2 linked regions of the Macaca fascicularis genome follow. The protein of the gene in region 2 purifies or fractionates together with the protein of the main gene of each other region. This does not show direct contact. Links are inferred from orthologs where the notes say so. Each region holds a gene or a part of one and is shown on either strand. Other genes may lie near its edges. The genes, in order: SLC27A2 and SAAL1.

The links.
Region 1: the proteins of SAAL1 (region 2) and SLC27A2 purify together in Homo sapiens (co-immunoprecipitation; 3 studies listed by BioGRID and IntAct, with this or other methods). This does not show direct contact. The link is inferred for Macaca fascicularis from reciprocal best matches to the Homo sapiens genes SAAL1 and SLC27A2.

The regions. Positions count from the first base shown.
Region 1 is NC_088381.1:26,686,358-26,696,292, reverse strand, and holds part of SLC27A2 (long-chain fatty acid transport protein 2), read right to left. Parts: intron 7,654-9,935; coding exon 7,495-7,653; intron 4,588-7,494; coding exon 4,463-4,587; intron 1-4,462. UniProt on the Homo sapiens protein: Mediates the import of long-chain fatty acids (LCFA) into the cell by facilitating their transport across cell membranes, playing an important role in hepatic fatty acid uptake.
Region 2 is NC_088388.1:47,680,104-47,690,038, reverse strand, and holds part of SAAL1 (protein SAAL1), read right to left. Parts: intron 6,642-9,935; coding exon 6,562-6,641; intron 4,798-6,561; coding exon 4,738-4,797; intron 4,624-4,737; exon of another isoform or gene 4,598-4,623; coding exon 4,482-4,597; intron 3,814-4,481; coding exon 3,633-3,813; intron 1,510-3,632; coding exon 1,427-1,509; intron 1,340-1,426; coding exon 1,151-1,339; intron 1-1,150. UniProt on the Homo sapiens protein: Plays a role in promoting the proliferation of synovial fibroblasts in response to pro-inflammatory stimuli.

The sequences.
Region 1 (9,935 bases), on a different chromosome or scaffold from region 2:
CTTTATCACCTTAGGAAAACTCTGGAGTCCCTGTTCTTAATAATTAATATGTTACACTTCTGCCTGGACAAGTTTCCACCTGTTTGCTTTACACAAGAGGCCCTTCGTCCTTCTGTGTATTCTCCCACCATAGCCAAAAGGACTGTCTAAAAATGCCATCTCCCACATCACTCTTCCATGTAGGGCCCTTTAGTCACGGCTTGTCATGTTCACATTTGAGTCTCAGCAGAGTGAAGCCCTTGCCACCTGACCCAGCCCTTCAGCTTCACCTCCTGCCAGACTGCTTGCAGTCCCTAGTATGCTGGGTCCTTCATCTCACTGCTCATGTGATTTTCCTGCTGGCCAGAACCCCTTCTTCTCTTGCCTGCCTGCAGAACTTCTCTGTATTCTTCAAAGCCCACTTTCCCTGGCGAACCTTCCTGATTCTGCTCCCCTTCCCTCTTTCTTTTGGCCTCCCTCTGTCTTGGGCCCCAGTCATACTGGCCACCCTCCACTCTGTGCTGCAACACATCCATCCATTCTCTTTTTTGAACAGAATGAAGCTGATGCAGAGACAGAAATTTTACGCTAGAAGGGACCACAGAGGTTATCTAATTTTGGGGGGATGCAGACAACACTAGAGGTAAGTTGAGTCTATTCAGCTTTTTCAGGGTTCTGGTCAATATTATTTCTCCTTTGAAATATCATGCTTCTGTGTGTGGCCGCTGGAACTCTTTTTTGGTTCCCTTTCTGTCTTCCTCCTCCCACACTCCAGCAGGTGGCCTAAAGCCTCACTGAGACCCCTTGCTGTAGCTTCAGTCTGTAATTGGAGGAAAGAAATACCGAGCTTTAGCAATATCATGTTCCAGTAAATAACTTTCCCTAGATGACATGGTTTTTAGGCAACTACGCAAACTGAATGGGAGGTGACAACCATACACTGCAAGAAATGAATCAGAATGGCCTTTCATTACAAACAGGCGCTCTGAAAGGAAAGGCCCAAAAACAATGCGGGAAGATGGCAAAATAAATAGAAAATATTCACTGTAATATTTTAAAAATCACTTAGGTCAACAGCTTTGCTATCTAATCCCCTACTCAACCTCAGATGAGAGTGATTAAGTAGAATGTTTTCCCTTATTTCTTTCTTTGTGTAAGTGGGCAGAATTTTCATTGATTCATTCAACAAATATGTATGGGATGCCTATTATGAGCGACACACTGTTAGGCATGGAAAATGATAATGATAATAATGGCAACATGTGTTGAGCATTTACTAAGTTCCAGCTACTACGTGGTTTACGTATATCATCTCATGTTGTCTTTGTAGACCTCATGTGAGGTAGGTACTATTATCTCCTTGTCGGCTGATGGGAAGCTGAGATTTAGAGAGGTTAACTATCCTGCTCCAATAGTAGAGTCAGGATTCAGGCTGACTAACTCCAGAGTACTTGCTCTCAGCACTACTTTAAGTATCTGGAGCCAAATCTGAACCACTGAGTGTGGCTAGGAACATTCTCCATAGCCCCCTGCTCTACCAGAGAAGCTACTGAATATGGCTGAGAAGAGGGCAGAGAAGCACAGTGGCTTCCACCTCCCAGCACTGGCCCCAGATCCTCCTGATGAGCTGGGCCATGTATGTGTGTGGATGGGTGTCATTGGTTTAGCTGCTCTGCTAAGGCAGAGGTTGCAAACCTCCCTGGCATCCAGTGCTTGGGAGTCGTTGGTGGGGTTAGTCCCTCCAGACACAGCGTATTCTAGGCAGCTCTAAGGGTGAGGAAGTTCCCGATTACATTGATCTAGGCCCTTCCCCCATTCATTCTAGTTTTTATCCCATTCTTTTTTATTTTTATTTTTTGCAAAGTCTTTTTGATATAATCTTTCCCATACCCCACAGAATCTGGACTTCCTACTTCCTATGATGACCCATGATTAAATTTTTTAAAAAAATTTTGCATAGATCTCCTGCTTGTCTAATGACCTATGATTGTTTCCTTTCTGTTTTCTTTTCCTTTTTTTTTTTTTTTTTTTTTTTGAGATAGGGTCTTGTTCTGTCACCCAGGCTGGAGTGCAGTGGCACAATCTTGGCTCACAGCAACATCTGCCTCCCGCTTCAAGCGACTCTCTTGCTTCAGCCTCCCGAGTAGTTGGGATTACAGGCGCGTGCCAACAAACCCCGCTAATTTTTGTATTTTTAGTAGAGACTGGGTTTCTCCATGTTGGCCAGGCTGGTCTTGAACTCCTGACCTTGAATGATCTGCCCGCCTCGGCCTCCCAAAGTGTTGGGATTAGAGGCGTGAGCCATCGTGCCTGGACTGATGACCTGTGATCAAAAAAAAATCTTTAACTGAAGTTTTTTTTTTGTTGTTGTTGAGATAACTTTGATCTTTTATTATACTTTCTATGAGTATTTTCCAGACAAACAGAACTCAGGGGTGGGGAAGCACTGGCAAATAGGAAGTCCAGGGGTCATTCAAGATTATGCATTAAATCATAGTATATTTTGAAGTCATAAAACCCCAATCAAATTGTCTTTGTTTTCCAGTATTCGAGATAACAGTAAGAGAAAAACTGGGAGAGTGCATGCATGTGTGTGTGTATGTGTGCATGTGTGTATGTGGATATGTGTAAGCCTTAAGACAGCTACACACAAACATACTTATTTTCCTCCAGTTGAAAGGAAGCTCCCGTTAGAACGTATAGAAACAACACACACTCCCCAGGAGATTTCTAACTGACAAGGGAGTGTCTTTAAGGTAGAGAAGAAAAGCCCAGCAGAAGGGCCCCATATGGATTTCTGGATGTTAATGGAGAGACATGCTATCTTGAGGGCCACGTGGAATATTAATGAGAAAAAAATTCAATAATGACATTAACAGAAACTGCTGCGGAAAACGCCCTAACCCAACTCACTGCTAATGATGATCCTCAAGAATCTATTTAATATGCCAAAAAATCAGAATAATATGTGCTAAGCCCAAACATTTTGGGGGAAACATTTTAGCTCCCTCAACTCAACTATATGTTTTTCAGGGTCAAGGATTTAAAAGGTTCGGTCCGCAAAATCTGTTGATGCCTATGATATGTCATTTACAGATCTCGGTGCTGTGGATCTGGTAGTGGACAGAGCCCCTGCTCATATGCAACTTTCATTTAATTGGGCGGGGGGGCCAGACAATAATCGCATAAACCTTTAGTATGTCAGGAGTGACAGGTGCCATGAAATGCAGTGACAAGCTGGACAGTGAGGGGCAGGTGATATGTTTGATTATTAGCAGGAGAGGCCTCTCTCCTAATGAGGTAACATCTGGGCAGATACTGAGTAAAGCGAGGTGAGAGAGACCTGGGGGAAGAGCATCCGACACTTCTTTCTGCGTCACATAGCGGCTGGTATGTAAGGTGAGCACAACAGGTGTTTATCAATAGCAATTTATCAACTTAGTGATCCTTTGAGGTTAAGTTGACTGAGTAGATTAAAGGAACTAGAATCTGGTGAAAGGGATTAGAATCTGGCAAGTTTACTGCATTGTCTTGCCCAGTGGTTCTCAACTAGGGTAGCATTTGCCTGCCAAGGGATATTTGGCAGTATCTGGAGACATTTTGATGATCACAACCTGGGCAGGTGGGGAGGTTACTACTGGCATCTCGTGGGCAAAGTTCAAAGGGTGCTAAACACTCTACAATGCACGGAATAAGTCCATGCAGCAAAGAATTAAAAGCCCAAAGTGTCAGCAGTGCCACTGTTGATAAATCCTATCTGATACCAGATCTGTGATGAGAGTTGAGGGACTGGGCAGGAGGAGCTCTTGAGAACAACCCCATCGAGAGCTGAACATCTGCAAACCAGGCAGATCCAAGGCCGTTGGAGATGCCCTGGGGCCTCTGTTCCCAGCTTGGTGACAGACTTGGCTGGTTGGTTTCAAAGTCACGCAGGGATTTATTTATTAAACAATATTAAGTAAAAGTTTCCTGTATGGTTTTGGTATAACAGAAAACAAGGAGACAAGATGTGGTTCCAGCCATCAAAGATATTACAGCCAAGGAAGGATGGGAGGCATGAACGCAAACTCCTGCAATGTGACAAGGGCCACAGAGGGTAGAAATAAAATGACGTAGGGGAGAAGAGTAATGACTTTTGTTGGAGTGACCCAAATAGGTTTAATGTATGAGGTATCATTTGAACTGGGCTTTGACAATGGCTTTTAGTAAGCAGAGAGGGAAATGCATGATATGCTAGGTGGGGGGTAAGATGTGAAAACAAGTAAAAAGTCAGGAAATAATAATCATCATCATGATAATATGAACTCCCACCTAATAAGTCCCCTCTATATGGTAGGTATAGTGCCAAGTACTTTATCATGATAATTGTATACTAAACTCAAAACTGATATACGCAAATCAGCTAAAGCCTAGCACAACCCAAAGTGACTTGAATTTCCATCTTACCCATTTCAAAATGATAGTACAACCGGGGTAGTGTTACCTGTGGTGTGTTGCATAAATACCGAAGCAGTTCACCGATATACTGAATGACAGTGACGTTGTATTTTCTGCAGTCATCCCAAAACTGGCTGGCTGAAAATTTAGTCCGCAAGGCAAGAGTAGCACCTACAGAGAAAGCATAGAAAGTGTCAAGAAAGAGGCCGGGCGTGGTGGCTCAAGCCTGTAATCCCAGCACTTTGGGAGGCCGAGGCGGGCGGATCACAAGGTCAGGAGATCGAGACCATCCTGGCTAACACGGTGAAACCCCTCTCTTCTAAAAATACAAAAAAATTAGCCAAGCATGGTGGCGGGTGCCTGTAATCCCAGCTACTCGGGAGGCTGAGGCAGGAGAATGGTGTGAACCCGGGGGGCGGAGCTTGCAGTGAGCCGAGATTGTGCCACTGCACTCCAGCCTGGGGCACAGAGCAAGACTCCGTCTCAAAAAAAAAAAAAAACAAACAAAAAGAAAGTGTGAAGAAAGAAATGGTAGAAAAAATTCTCCCAATTATATTTAATTTGTGAACTTTGAAAGACAGAAATTTAAAAGTAAATTATATTTGCAAACAAGTATTGAGTACCTTATATTCAATGCAAAAAATTAGTAAGACATGGTTTTGTTTGATAGGGGCTTCCAATCTATGGAGGAGAAGACTTATACAAAGGTCATTTTAATAAAAGTCAGCTTGCAGTAAGAGATTCAAATGAGGTCCTAAGAGGGAGGGAGGGGGGAGGGACAGAGATTTCATGCAAAAAAAATATATATATATAAATAAATATAAATATTTCATGCTATATAAATATATATAGTGAGACTGTCTCAAAAATACACATATACACACACATACGTGTGTGTGTGTGTGTGTGTGTGTATATATTTGAGACAGAGTCTCGTTCTATTTTTTTTTTTCTTTTTTTGAGACTGAGTCTCGCTCTGTCACCCAGGCTGGAGTGCAGTGGTGCCATCTTGACTCACTGCAACATCCGCCTCCTGGGTTCAAGTGATTCTCTTGCCTCAGCCTCCTGAGTAGGTGAGATTACAGCTGTGTGCCACCACGCCTGGCAAATTTTTTGTATTTTTAGTAGAGATGGGGTTTCCCTGTGTTAGCCAGATGGTCTCAATCTCCTGACCTTGTGATCTGTCCCCCTCGGCCTCCCAAAGTGCTGGGATTACAGGCGTGAGCCACTGCACCTGGCCCGAGTCTCGCTCTGTTGCCCCGGCTGGAGTGCAGTGGTGCAATCTTGGCTCACTGCAACCTCCGCCTTGTGGGTTCTTGTGCCTCAGTCTCTAAGTAGCTGGGATTATAGGCGGGCACCATCATGCCTGGCTAATTTTTGTATTTTTTAAGAAGTGATGGGGTTTTGCCATGTTGACCAGGCTGGTCTCAAACTCTTGACCTCAAGTGATTCGCCTGCCTCAACCTCCCAAAGTGCTGGGATTACGGGCAGGAGCCACTGTGCCTGGCTCGTTCATGCAATATTTTAAATAATTTTGTGCATAAAATAAAGTTTGTGTTAAGTACTTATCTGTAGTATTTTCCACTTGTGGTGTCCTGGTGCTCAAAAAGTTTCAGATTTTGGAGCATTTTGGATTTCAAATTTTTGGATTGTGTGTGTGTGTGTGTGTGTGTGTGTGTGTGTGTGTGTTTAAGCTGCTATAACAATATAGTACAGACTGGGTGGCTTAAATAACATATATCTCTTGCAGTTCTGGAGGCTGCGAAGTCCCTATCAAGGTGTTGGCAGATCGGGTGTCTGGTGAGGGCATTTTTCCTGGTTTGGGGACGGTCATCATCTCCCTGTGTCCTTACATGGAAGAGAACGGAGTCAGGAAAGAAGCTCTCTCCTGTCTCTTCTGATAAGGGCACTACCTTTCATGAAGGTGCTTCTCTCATGACCCAATTACCTCCCAAAGACCCTACCAGCTAATACCATCACATTGGGGGTTAGGATTTCAACACATACATTTTTGGGGGACACAAATATCCATCCATGACATGCATGCATATACACACACATATATGTGTGTGTATATACATATGTGTATATATTTTTATATATACATATATGATTATTTAAAATGAAATGCCACATGGGAGAAAAAGTTGCTTTTTAGTTCAGTCAGAAAGTTACAGATAGCTTCCTGGAAGAGGTGGCTATTGAACTTTGCAGTAATGTATACAAGTGACATAAATCCTCCTGGAAGGAGAGAGGATGGCAACTCCAATTTGAATAGTAAAGTCTGAGAAGGAAAGAGAAGAGATGGCAAGCCAAGCCAAGTATTCTGATGGAGTTGCCATCTTCTCTCCTTCTAGTAGAGCTGAAAAGCTGTGGAAACAGGGGAGGCTGCAGAAGAGTGCACACAACTGAAGAAGTTTAAATCAGATGCTGATGGAGATCAACATGTAAGTTTCTAAAGATGGAAATGACATGACATAGAATCTAAGATTCAAGTGTCATAACCTAGATACAGATAATTTTTTATTTTTATTTTTATTTTATTTTTCACAGTTGAGGTCTCACTCTGTCAACCAGCTTGGAGTGCAGTGGTGCAATCACAGCTCACTGCAATCTTGAACTCTTGGACTCAAGCAATTCTCTTACTTCAGCCTCCTGGGTAGCTGGGACTACAGACTTGAGCCACCATGCCTGGCTATTTTTTTTTTTTGTAGAGATGAGGTTTGCTCTGTTGCCCAGGCTGGTCTTGAACTCCTGGCCTCAAGCAATCCTCCTGCCTTGGTCTCCCAAAGTGCTGGGAATACAGGTGTGAACCATTGCACCCAGCTCTAAAAAATTTAAAGGAGTTTCTCACTTGATATGCTGAACAATTATAGCATTATATTATTAGATAAGCAGGCATGAAAAAACAGATTATTTTAGATGCTTGCTTGTAATATGAGTCAAATAGCCTTATTGTTAAAGCAAAATTGAAGACTGTTCCAAGCAGACAGCAACGTAGCCAAATTTTATATTACTGTTCCTTGTGAGAAAATGTAAATGTGCACTCGCCTCCAACACTTTGTAGGAAAAACTTACCAGCCACAATACATCCATGAAGGCCAATCAATAGTGCAGCACTGTGGTACAAGGGCAGAGTGATATAGATGACATCATCTGCCTTCAATCCGCTTACAAAAGTGAGGCCAGTTCCATACCATATGCGCTGATGAGTGATCATGGCCGCTTTTGGAAGACCTTTGCAAATATACAAGAGAAGGTATGAGTTAACCAAGATTGGGCATTTACAGTGTAGGAGAGAGATCTGGCTTAGGAAGATTAATCATCCTGTATTTTGAGAATTGCACTGGGAAGGGCCATGACCGGTTAGACCAGAAGTTGACAAATTTTTTCTATAAAGGACCAGAGAGTAAATGTTTTAGGCTTTGTGGGTCATACAATCTCTGTTGCAACAACTGAACTCTGCTATTGTGGTCAAAAGCAGCCATACACATACACATAAATGGAGTGTGGCTGTGTTCCAATAAAACTTTATTTATAAAAACAGGTGGGAAGCTGTATTTGGCCCACAAGCAACAGATTGCTAACTCCTGAGTTAGATGGTTAGATGGTAGTAATCTGAAGAGAAACAGAAAACAGAGGAATGAATGTCTATTGAATTTCTGCTCTGTGGCTACCATTTTGCATGAAATTTAAAAAATGTCATTTAATTTCCATAACATGTTTATGTATGACATAAACAGAATTATATTCTCCAATCCACAGATGTGAAGGCTGGGAGTCAGAGAGATTTCTTATGTACTGGAGTTATTTTATACAAACAAAGCAAATATGAACATTTCCTTATATGTTCTTGCCTTTTCCATTAAAAAATATGCACACTCAGCTGGGTGCGATGGCTCACACCTGTAATCCCAGCACTTTGGGAGGCCAAGGTGGATGGATCACAAGGTCAGGAGATCGAGACCATCCTGGCTAACATGGTGAAATCCCGTCTCTACTAAAAATACAAAAAATTAGCCAGGCGTGGAGGTGGGCACCTGTAGTCCCAGCTACTTGGGAAGTTGAGGCGGGAGAATGGCGTGAACCTGGGAGGCGGAGGTTGCAGTGAGCTGAGATAGCGCCACTGCACTCCAGCCTGGGCGACAGAGTCAGACTCTGTCTCAAAAAAAAAAAAAAGCACACTCTTTTGCATGTTTTTTGTCTCTGCTGCTTAACACTGTTTATTGGAGATTTGTTCATGTTTGTACATAGAGATTTTTCTTATTCATTTATTTATTCTCTTTCTCAGCTCCTTCAGAAGTCCTTTTATGAGTCTATTATAATTTATTTATACTATTTGCTGTTACAAATGATGCTGCAGTGAAGAACCTCGTCCACATGGCAGTTCACATATGAATGACACCATATCTTTTGGATAAATTCACAGAAGTGAGATTGTTGTGTCAAAAGATAAAAGATGGCCAGTCCTGTAATCCCAGCACTTTGGGATGCTGAGGCAGGAGGATCGCTTGAGCCCAGGAGTTCAGCACCAGTCTGGGCAACATAGTGAGACCCCTCCTCAACAAAAAGTAAAACAAATTAGCTGGGCGTGGCAGCATGCATCTGTAGTCCTAGCTTCTTGGGTAGGAGGATTGCTTGAGCCCAGGAGGTTGAGGCTACAGTGAGCCCTGATCCTGCCACTGTACTCCAGCCTGGGCAACAGATTGAGTCCCTGTCTCAAAAAAAAAAGTCTTTGTAATCTTGATAAATAACTGCCACATTGCCAGTTATAAGGGGTGTCCCCATTCATTCTCCTACCAGCAATACATGAGTATGCCTGTTTCCTCCTAGCCTTGTCAATGTGTGCTCTTAAATGTTGGGACCTTTGCCAGTCAGAAAGGTGAAAAACGGTATCTCCATGTAGTTTTAGTACATTAGACTAAATGCGTTTGCATATTCTTAACCATAATTTATATACGTTTTTGTAAGATTTTCTTCTGTTAAGTGTTTGCTTATATTGTTTCCCATGGAAGAACAGTTCAATTGGGGAGGGCATGAAGTCACTGGGAAGGGGACTAAGAGTTTCAGATCTGAGTGGGTAAGTAGACTTCATGAAGAGGAAGACAGATCTCTGTTGACTCAGATTCTTCAATACTTGATGGTACATTCACCGGATATTGCCCAAATAGCAGCAACTTGTTCCGAGGCAGACAAATATGGTCAGCAACCTACCATTATTGTAAACACAATTCAAAATTCATTTTCTTTGACAATGGGCCAGTTGTTTTGTTTTGTTTTATATATTATTATTAGTATTATTTTTGAGATAGGCTTTCACTCTGTTGCCAGGCTGGAGTGTAGTGGTGTTCAAGGCTCACCACAGCCTCAGGTCAAGTGATCCTCTTGTCTCATCCCCGCAAGTATCTGGGACCACAGGTGTGCACCACCATGCCTGACTAATTTATTTATATTTTTTGTAGAGACGAGGTCTTGCTTTATTGCCCAGACTGATCTTGAACTCTTGGCTTCAAGTGAGC
Region 2 (9,935 bases):
ATGAACATAGTAATGGAACTGAATAGAATATATAGGGGAATTTAAAAAATAATGATGAAATTTCAAATCAGTGTGGGTAAGCTGGATTACTCACTAAATGATGTTGAGATAACTGGGTAGCCCTCTGGAAAAGAAATTGATACCACTAGTACCAAAGTTATTAAAGGGGGAAAAAAGAATTAAAGTCACACTTCACATGTGACACCAGAATAAATTCTAAATGAATCATGAATTTAATTGTGGTCATAAAAATCATTCTGTGAAAGACTATGTGTTTACATAGGAAAATATTCATTTTATATTTCTAAATGAAATGTCGGCTAAAAAGCAGAATTAAATATATGTGCATGTGTTGGATGATAAGATTACAGACATCATGTTTCCTTGATATTTTTTATCAATTTTTAGGCAGGGTGCTGAGGCTCATGCCTGTAATCCCAGCACTCTGGAAGGCAAGGCAGGAGGGTCATTTGAGCCCAGGAGTTTGTGACAAGCCTGGGCAAGATTGTAAGACCCTGTCTCTATAAAAAATTTAAAAACTAGCCAGGTGTGGTGTCATGTGGCTGTAGTACCAGCTACTCAGAAGGCTGAGGTGAGACAATCACCTGAGCCCAGGAATTCAAGGTTGCAGTGAGCTATGATCCTGCCATGGCACTATAGCCTGGGCGACAAAATAAGACTCTGTCTTTAAAATAAGTAAATAGGCCAGGCGGGGTGGCTCACACCTGTAATCCCAGCACTCTGGGAGGCCGAGGCGGGTGGATCACCTGAGCTCAGGAGTTCCAGCCCAGCCTGGCCAACATGGTGAAACGCTGTCTCTACTGAAACAATACAAAAATTAGCTGGGCACAGTGGTATGTGGCTGTAATCCTAGCTACTTGGGAGGCTGAGGCACGAGAATCACTTGAATCCAGGAGGCAAAGGTTTCAGTGAGCCAAGATCGTACCACCGCACTCCAGCCTGGGCAGCAGAGCAAGACTCTGTTTCCAAAAAATAAAAATAAATAAAAAGTAAAATAAGTAAATAAATACAATAATAAAATAAATTTTGAAGTTTAGCATATTTTTATAACTAGGGAAATGAAAGCGTTTTTTAAAAGGGAGAAATCAATGAAATGAAAAACAATATGAGCCTAGGAAATTGTACTTGCCTTTTTCTATCTTTAGATACTCTTGCTCAGTCTGTGAGGCATAAATGGCAGACAACACTGAAAAAACAGAGGCTAGCACTGTTTTCTGTTCTTGAAGAATGATGGGTGGATCATCAGACTGGCAGAATTCATGGCAGACCAGGTCAAAAAGTAAATTCCAAATGTCTTTTCCAGTGTCAGGACAATGTACTTAATAAAGACAACAAATAAAGCAGTACTTTAAAATCAGCAAACAATTAAATGAGTAACTGTAGCGCTTCCGATAAACCATCTTACCAATTGCTTGAATTCCATCATCCACTGTAGTAAGCAGTTGTAAAATATGCATGTAAACATCAAGCCATTCTGGATTTTCAGAACTAAACAGGAAAAGTAAAAGCACTGAATCAACGTTACTGTCCAGGGGATTCCAATCATTCATCCATTCAATAAATATCTATTACTCTGCCAGCCACTGTTCAAGGTGCTGAGGATAAAACAAGGAAAGGAACGAAGGCTCTGTGCTCGTTAGAGCTTTTATATTCTAATAGGGGAAACAGCAAAAAATAAACATTATATAAAATAATCAACACACACAGGACAAGAAGTAAAAAAATCTTTTTGGCTCTATCTCATAAAAGCAACAATGCAGAAACCTGCTAGTTGATACTTTATCATTTTGGTTTGCTTGAATAATCAGAACAAAAAAATGACTGCGATTTTTATAGTATGAACGTAAGGTCCACTGCACCATGCATCAACAAAAATGATGTTCTGAAAACGTCTCAGGATTATCCTAGCCCCCTAGCTGAGAATACTAAAAGCATATAAGTCTAATTCTTATGATCAACCATTTGGATTCTCAAAAATCTAAATAGTTTGGAAACTCAAAATCTTAGTTCTTCAACCAAGCAAGTGAAAAGACAGTGAACAATTAAAACAATGGTTTGGCAAATGTTTATTTAAGTACTTACAAATTAAATTTCAGGCACTATGTTAGGAGTTGAGAAAACAGATGTATAAGATGTTATCCCTACCTTCATAAAGTTTATACTTTAAAAAGAAAGAAGATTGCTAGCGGGGTAATTACAATAACGTGGTATGAATGTAACACTATAGGGCTAGGAGCCACTATATAGCAAGGAGACTCAGTTTGCAGGGTCAGGGGAGGTACCTTAAGAAAAATGATGTTTACACAGAAACATGAAGGGGCAAAGAAGTATGTGAGGTGGAGGAAACATACTGTGCAAAGGCCTGGAGACAAGAGAGCTGGTTCAGTTGAAGAAGTGAAGCAAACTTCACATGACTGAAACGCAGAGTACAAGGAATAAGGATAGTACTACTGGGCCTATAAGCTGCACTTTATTTTTCTGAGAATTTTTCATTTATTTCATTCTTTTTCCCCCTATTTTATTTATTTATATTTTGGATTCAGAAGGTACATGTTGGGGGTTGTTACATGCATGGTGCTGAGGTTTGGGAATATGGATGGTCCCATCACCCCGGTGATGTACACAGTACCCAAGCTGTGTTTGTGTTTGTTTTTGTTTTTTTCTGGACCTTATCCTAAGGAAGGTAACTGAAAAGACTGAAGCATGAGAGTGAGACGAGTACGTACTTTGCAAAAACAGCTTTAAAGTCTAGGCTTGGGAAAAGCAAGCATAGAGGCAGCGAATTCAAGTAAAAGAATGTGGCAGTTCTCCAGATGAGAGACAATAATGGCTTGACTGGCATGGATGGAATCCCAGAAAAAGTCAGGAATAAGGGTTGGGAGTTGACTACAATGGGAAAATACTGGGGCAGGAAAGATTCTGTAATGGCTTCTCCATTTCTTCTATATTATCCAAACAGGACAGTGATTACATCATTTACTGAGATTGAGAATACTGATGAAGCAGGTTTAGGGAAAGATGATGAATTTAATCCTCACTTGGATAAAGGACACAAAATTAATAGGTTTGATGTGGCTTACTCAGCACTAAGAATGCACTAAGCAAATCACTAAGCAGATCAATTTAAAAATTAATTTTCTAGTGATTAGCAATAAACAGTTTTAATGACCTATAAGGCTTAGTAATCACTCTTGACAAGACATCAGAGTCCCAAAATCAGTCACTTATTGAAGACTGGCATATAAACACAAGGAGCAAAAAAAAAAAAGATGTGCAACGTTAATTAAGAAGTTGTTAAATGTTCAACGTAAAAGCACAAGAAAATGTTTTCTCTTTGGTTTAAATTACATAAAATATGATAAGACAGAAACCACAGTTAATGTTGAATAACAGCCTATAGCTAAATGATAATGTAACAGGAAGTTTGTAACCACTATCATTCTTATAAAAAGCATACAGGTTGCATCACAAATATTAGTAGTGAATTAACGTAACAAGGAGTGACTGTGTACTTTATTCTGTTGTAAGGAATCTAAGAAGACTTTTATATCTGAGAATACTTCTATCAATTGCATTTTCCCAGAGCACTTTGCACGAAAGAGCTCACCTACCGTACTTGTTTGGCAGCTTCGAGTATACAGGGCACGAGCCGAAACACTGGCTGCTCTTCAGACTCTTCCTGGGGTTGGTCCAGAGGCTGAGTAGCCCCATTTCTGACCCATTCCAACATTAGTTTCTCATCCAAATCAAAGAGCTTGTCTACAACCTCCCCCACCTTCACCAGCAAGTCAACTGCAGAGAATAAAACAAAGATTGAAATAAAAACAAATTGCTAAAAGCAATAGGGTTAAGCAAAATTCCTACAGCTATTCTAACAAAACCAAACCTTGCCAAAGCAGTACTTATTCTAAAGGGTGATTTACTTATCTCACATGTTTAAATTTGCGTATTTTTCCTCATTTTTAAATGAGGAATTCATCAGTGTCCCAGGAATTTAAGAAATTTTATATCTTCAATCAAAAAACTTTCTCCAAAAAACAAACAAAAAGCTGGGCATGGTGGCTTACACCTGTAATCCCAACACTTTTGGGAGGCCAAGGCTAGATGACTGCTTGAACACATGAGTTCGAAACCAGCCTGGGCAAGAAAGTGAGACTCCAGCTCTACAAAAAATTTTAAAATGAGCTGAGCATGGCGGTGCACAACGATAGTCCCAGCTATTGGGGAGATTAACAGAAGGATACCTTGAGCCTAGGAGTTTGAGGCTGTAGTGGGCTATGATCACACTACTGCACTCCAACCTGGGTGACAGAGCAAGATTCTGTCTCAAACTAACAAACTTTATTACCTTGCACCCAAGGCTTTTTTCAAAAAGGTGACTTCTAGAAATAGTTACATGGTTTCCTAAAAATTAAATAAAATTTAAAACTTTTTTTTTTCTAGACTACATGATGACTTACCATTTGTTGAACTTGACATAATGAAGCAAATGCTATCATAAATCGCTGAATGTTCCCGGATCCTTTCAACCCAAACACTGGCCACTTCTGCCTGGGAAAGGCAAGTAAGCAACAACCTACATGGTAAACGTGGGTTGAATTTCTACTTTTCAAAAAAAAATAAAACAGTAAAGGAAATTCGAAAATAAAAAATTAGCTTTTTTTCTTAGCTACTCTTATGAGTAACCTTATAGAATTCATGAAAGGAAAAGCATACCTGCTTGTTTCCAGCAGAGTAGGTGGGTCTGAATCATACAAACAGTGCAATAATACCTGCCTACAAAAACAAAGAAGTTAACCGATATGCCTCACTTCTTGCATTTAAAATATCCGAGTTTTCATTTAAGTTTTTTAACATCTTTATTGTGAAATACAGCATGTATTCAGAAAAGCCCAAAAGATACAAATCTATAGTTAATAAATAATTATAAAGCAAACACTCGTGTTTCCAAGAAACAGAACAGAGCTGCATCTCAGTAGTCACCATGTGTCCATTCCAAATCACAATTCTCTTTCCCACCTAGAAATGATGACCATTCTGATTTTTCCAGCAATTATTTCTTTACTTTGCTCTATAGTTTTATTATTTTATATATTTTGGTGTTGCTTTATACTGCAGGTAAAAGGATTAAGAGGACATGCTGAATAAATAGACATAATCTGGGAGGTTATTCGGATTCATGAAGATGGTCAAGGAGGGGAGACAACATATGAAATAAATTATATTATACTTATTCTTTTGAGTCTTCATTTATTTGCTGGAAACTATACATGTAAGATCCACCCATGTTGTTTCTTTAGCTGTTATTCTTTGACAGATTGTTGCAGAGTACTCCATTGTGTGAAAATAACACAATTTATTTTTCCAGACTACTGCTGATGGCCATTTGCGTTGATTCTAATTTGGGGCTATTTCAAGTAATCCTCCTATAATATTTGTAAGAGTTATCCTGATGCACATGTGCACAGTTTCTCTTACCATATATGCCCACTATGAGCTGGTCACAGCACATGCATATGTTCCAACGTGACCAGATAACGCCCAACTATTCTAAAGTGGTTCAACAAATTTATATCCCATCAGCAAAATAACTTGCACCATACTAATATTAAGATAAGCATTTACTTGAATTTATAATATTTGTTAACATTTCTCATTCCTGGAGTTTTGATAGAGAACATTATAGAGACCAAACATAATCCTAAGTCATTTGCTCCATGGATGACTGTAAATTACTGAGGAATAAATACTCTGAACTAGGATCTTAAAGTCCCTCCACAACTAGGAGTTATCTCTTTCTGAGAAACCCAGGTACTTGAATCCTGTGATAAAACCCTCACGGCCCCAGCTCTGACAAAAACTGCCTAGAACAGTTTTCTTAACCTATTTGGGTACAAATTTTTTTGAGATTCTGATTAACAGCCATGAACCCTTTGCCTAGAAAACTAATACACCCACAAAATTTAGCATATAATTTCAGGGTGTTCTCAGAACACAGTAACCAAACTTGGGTTTCCTCCGTTAAAAAACCTTCTGCCCAGAACTTTACACATGGAGAAGAGAAGTAGCCTCGAAGCAGAAATCTGAGTCTTTTCATCACAGAGGCAACTCTTTATCTTCTAGTTTGTTGGCAAGTCTTATCCTCTAAGTCAGAGCTCTCAGGGTGACATTATTCAACAAATCTAGTTTCTGCAGACTCCAGCTGAGTCACTGGATTCTCTGCACCTAAAATGTTTTGGATTCCAGTTGGCTGCACCATCTCCAAGTTTTGTCCCACTGGTTCTTCCCCTATCTGGCTTACTGCCACCAGCTGACAATTCAGGTTCCTTTGCTACTGAAGAAAACAGGTTTAAATCCTGAATTATTTCAGTACCTCCTGAAGAAGCCCCTAGCTACCATCAACACACAATGAAGTTCCTAGAGAGTATTCATCAAGACAAAGAAAAGACTGTCTTTCAGATTTGCTACTTTTCCTAAGACAAATTTCCTTAAGGATATAAAAGAATATGTTTAAAAACATGATTATATAGTAAGACTTACCCAAGATTTTTATCACTGCTGATGGACACACATATCTCCTGGAAACAGGCCATATTACCTAAAATTCCCACACAGATTTCCTGCCAAATCAAATTTTACAAGTCACAATGGCTCTGAGATGAAAGACATAAACAAAAATATCAACTTGAACAAAAACTTTCACTGAGCCAACTTTTGGGGTAAGGCAGAGGGGAGGCAGGATAAAGAAATACATATACTGCCTGTACCCTAACTTTGACAAGCTTACAGTATTTGAGAAGGGATGAAAGACATAAGAACAAGAAAGGGCAAAGGCAGGAGCTATGGAAGAAGAACTCCTATCGATAAAACGAGTGTTAAATGATTGATAGTATTGAGATACGCAAACAAAAAGACAGACATTCAAATAAGGGGACAGTATCAGCAAAGGCAGGAAGGGAATCATGTATGTGGCGAAGACGGTAGACAATAAAGTACTCCGGTTGTGGCACAAAGTGGGTGAACAGCATGAGGTAAATACCGCAGGTATAAAGGACTGAGATTAAGGGCTCTGAATGCCATGCTGAAGAATTAGATTTAATCTGGGAAGTTATTTGGAATCATGAAGATGCTCAAGGAGGGGAGACAACATACTGAAACAGTATCTTAGAAAGATTATTCTGGTGGCAAAATGCATAATGAATTAGTGTAGCCCCTCTTTATCCACGGTATCAGTTACCCATGGTCAACCTTGGTATAAAAGTACTAAATGGGAAGGTCCAGAAATAAACAATTCATGTTTTAAATTGCATGCCTTTCTGAGTAGCACAATGAAATCTTGCACCGTCTCACCTGGGATGTAACTCATTCTTTTGTTCAACATATCCACACTGTATACGCTGCCTGCCCATTAGTTACTTAGTAGCCATTTGGCTATCAGATCGACCATCATGGTATCTCACAGGGCTTGTGTTCATGTCACCCTTATTTTACTTAATAATGGCCCCAAAGCACAAGAGTAGCGATGCTGGCCATTTGGATATGTCAAGGAGCCACCATTAAGTGCTTTCTTTACATGAAAAGGTGAAAGTTCTTGACTTCATAAGAAAAACATACAAAAATGTATGCTGAGGTTGCTTAGGATCTCTAAGAACAAATCTATCCATGAAATTGTGAAGAAGGAAAAGGAAATTTGTGCATATTATAAATAGGGTTCAGTTCTATTCTTTGATTTTAGGCACTAGGGGCCTTGGAATGTATCTCCCAAGGATAAGGGGAGACTAGTGCATAGGGAAAAGAAGTTGAAAAGAATTTAAGAATCTATCTCAGTAATAGTTAATTAATATGTAATAACATTTATTACCACTCATTATGGCCAGGCATTACTCTAAGCATTTTCCGTGTATAATTTCATATAATAACTTGGGTGAAAGGTACTAATAGTATCCCCATTTTTTCAGATGAGGAAACTAAGGCACAGAGAAGTTAAGCTACTTGCCTAAGATCTTGAGATCTCCAACTAGAACATGGCAGAGCTCCAGAGCTTGAGCATTTAACCACTATTCCAAACTGCACCTCAGTTATCAAGACGCAAGAGGAGGAGGGCCCTCAGGCATGGAAAAGGATGAAGCTGAGGAAGACTCTCAAGGTGAAAGCAAAATAATCCAATGTGAGGATGAGGGAGAAAGCAGCTGAACCTGACTCCTAGCTTTCAAGTTGCCTCATTTTCTCAGTCAGTGATATTGGTCCCATTGACAGGAAAACTAAAAAAGAAAGTGCATAAAAGGCTACAATGAGTTCAGATGGTACGGTGTTTCCAAGCTGGCTGGAATGTAACAATCACTCAGGGAGCTTGTTAAAAATACAGATTTCCAAATCTCATCTCAGATCTACTGAATTATAATTTTCAGGGTACAGCCTGGAAAGCTATTGTTTACCCAGCATATACCAGGTGACTTTTATGATCAGATAAGCGTGACCATAAATCACTGAGGACATACACAATTCAGGGTTAGAGAGCACAGCTGACCCTTGAACAACACAGGTTTCAATGTGTGGGTCCACTTAGAGGTGGATTTTTTCTAACCAAACTTGGAATGAAAATACAGTGTCCTCAAGATGCAAAACCTGCGTAATATGCAGAGCTGACTTTTCATACACACAGGTTCCACAGAGCTGACTGCAGAATTGAGTATGTGCGGATTTCAGTATGGGGGAATGTCTTGCAACCATCCCCCGTGTATACCAAGGGACAACTGTACAGCATGCAAGCAGAGAATGCCTGAAGAAAGTTGGAGATGTGACATCAGTTATCAGAAGGGAAGTCAAGGCTTTGCTCCTACAGGCGAGTTGCAACTTAAAGGTGTAAAGAAAACACATAAGTTCACTAGGAAAATGAATATAATGAGAGCAAAGGATCAGGCCTACACCTTACAAAAAGTCCATATTCGGGACAGTATAAAAAAGGAAGAAAGAAAAAAGCCAATGAAAGGTGAGAGAGGAGTGACTCAAGAGGTCAGAGACGACAGTGAGATGACACAGGAGCTACAGAAATGAAGTTTCAAAAAAATGTGGGTGGTCAAATGTTGGGAAAAGATTAAGAGTGAGTAGGGGCAGGAAAAAACCACATACATTTCCCTTATAAACTAAAGAGGGAATAACTGAACTTCCAATCAAAGATCAAGTTTTTCTGTCTTGGCTGCTCACTGGAATCACCTGGGGAACTTTAAAAGCTGGCCAAAGTCTCACACTTGGAGATTCTGCTTTAACTCATCTAGGGTATGGCCTGACTCAAGATTTTCAAAAGTTCCCCAGGGCAAAGCTTCTCAGAGTCTGGCAATGCTCCAGAGCACCAGCGTCACCTGGGAACATATTAGGAATCCTGGACCTACTGGACTAGAAACTCTGGAGGGGGGCTTGGCGATTAGTGATGCGGGGACATGCTTAAGTTTGACAGCCCATGTCCCAGGTGATTCTAACATGCAGCCAAGGCTGAGAATCACTGTGGCAGCAGACAGTGGCCAGCGGATATATACAACAATATGACTAAATCCTAAAAGGTGCCATTCCTGACATAAGCTTATTCTTTATACACTAGTAGTGAGTAAATATATTTAAGACAGAAAAACTCAGTACAAAAATAGCATAATTGTCAAATCTTACATTAATATAAGGAACCAAGGAAAAAATGGTTAATCAGGCCCTAATTCAGACAGAACATTCTACTTAAATAAGAATTTTAATTCAACATTCAATTTGTAACAACACACTACGGAATTCTCCATTTTATAATCTGAAAGAGAGGAAATACAGTACAGTGGTTATACTGGAGTCAGGCCTAGGCTGAAATCTCAGCTCCATTCTTTCCTAGTTGTGTGACCTGAACACGTATCTTCACCCAAGATCTAGTTCTTTAA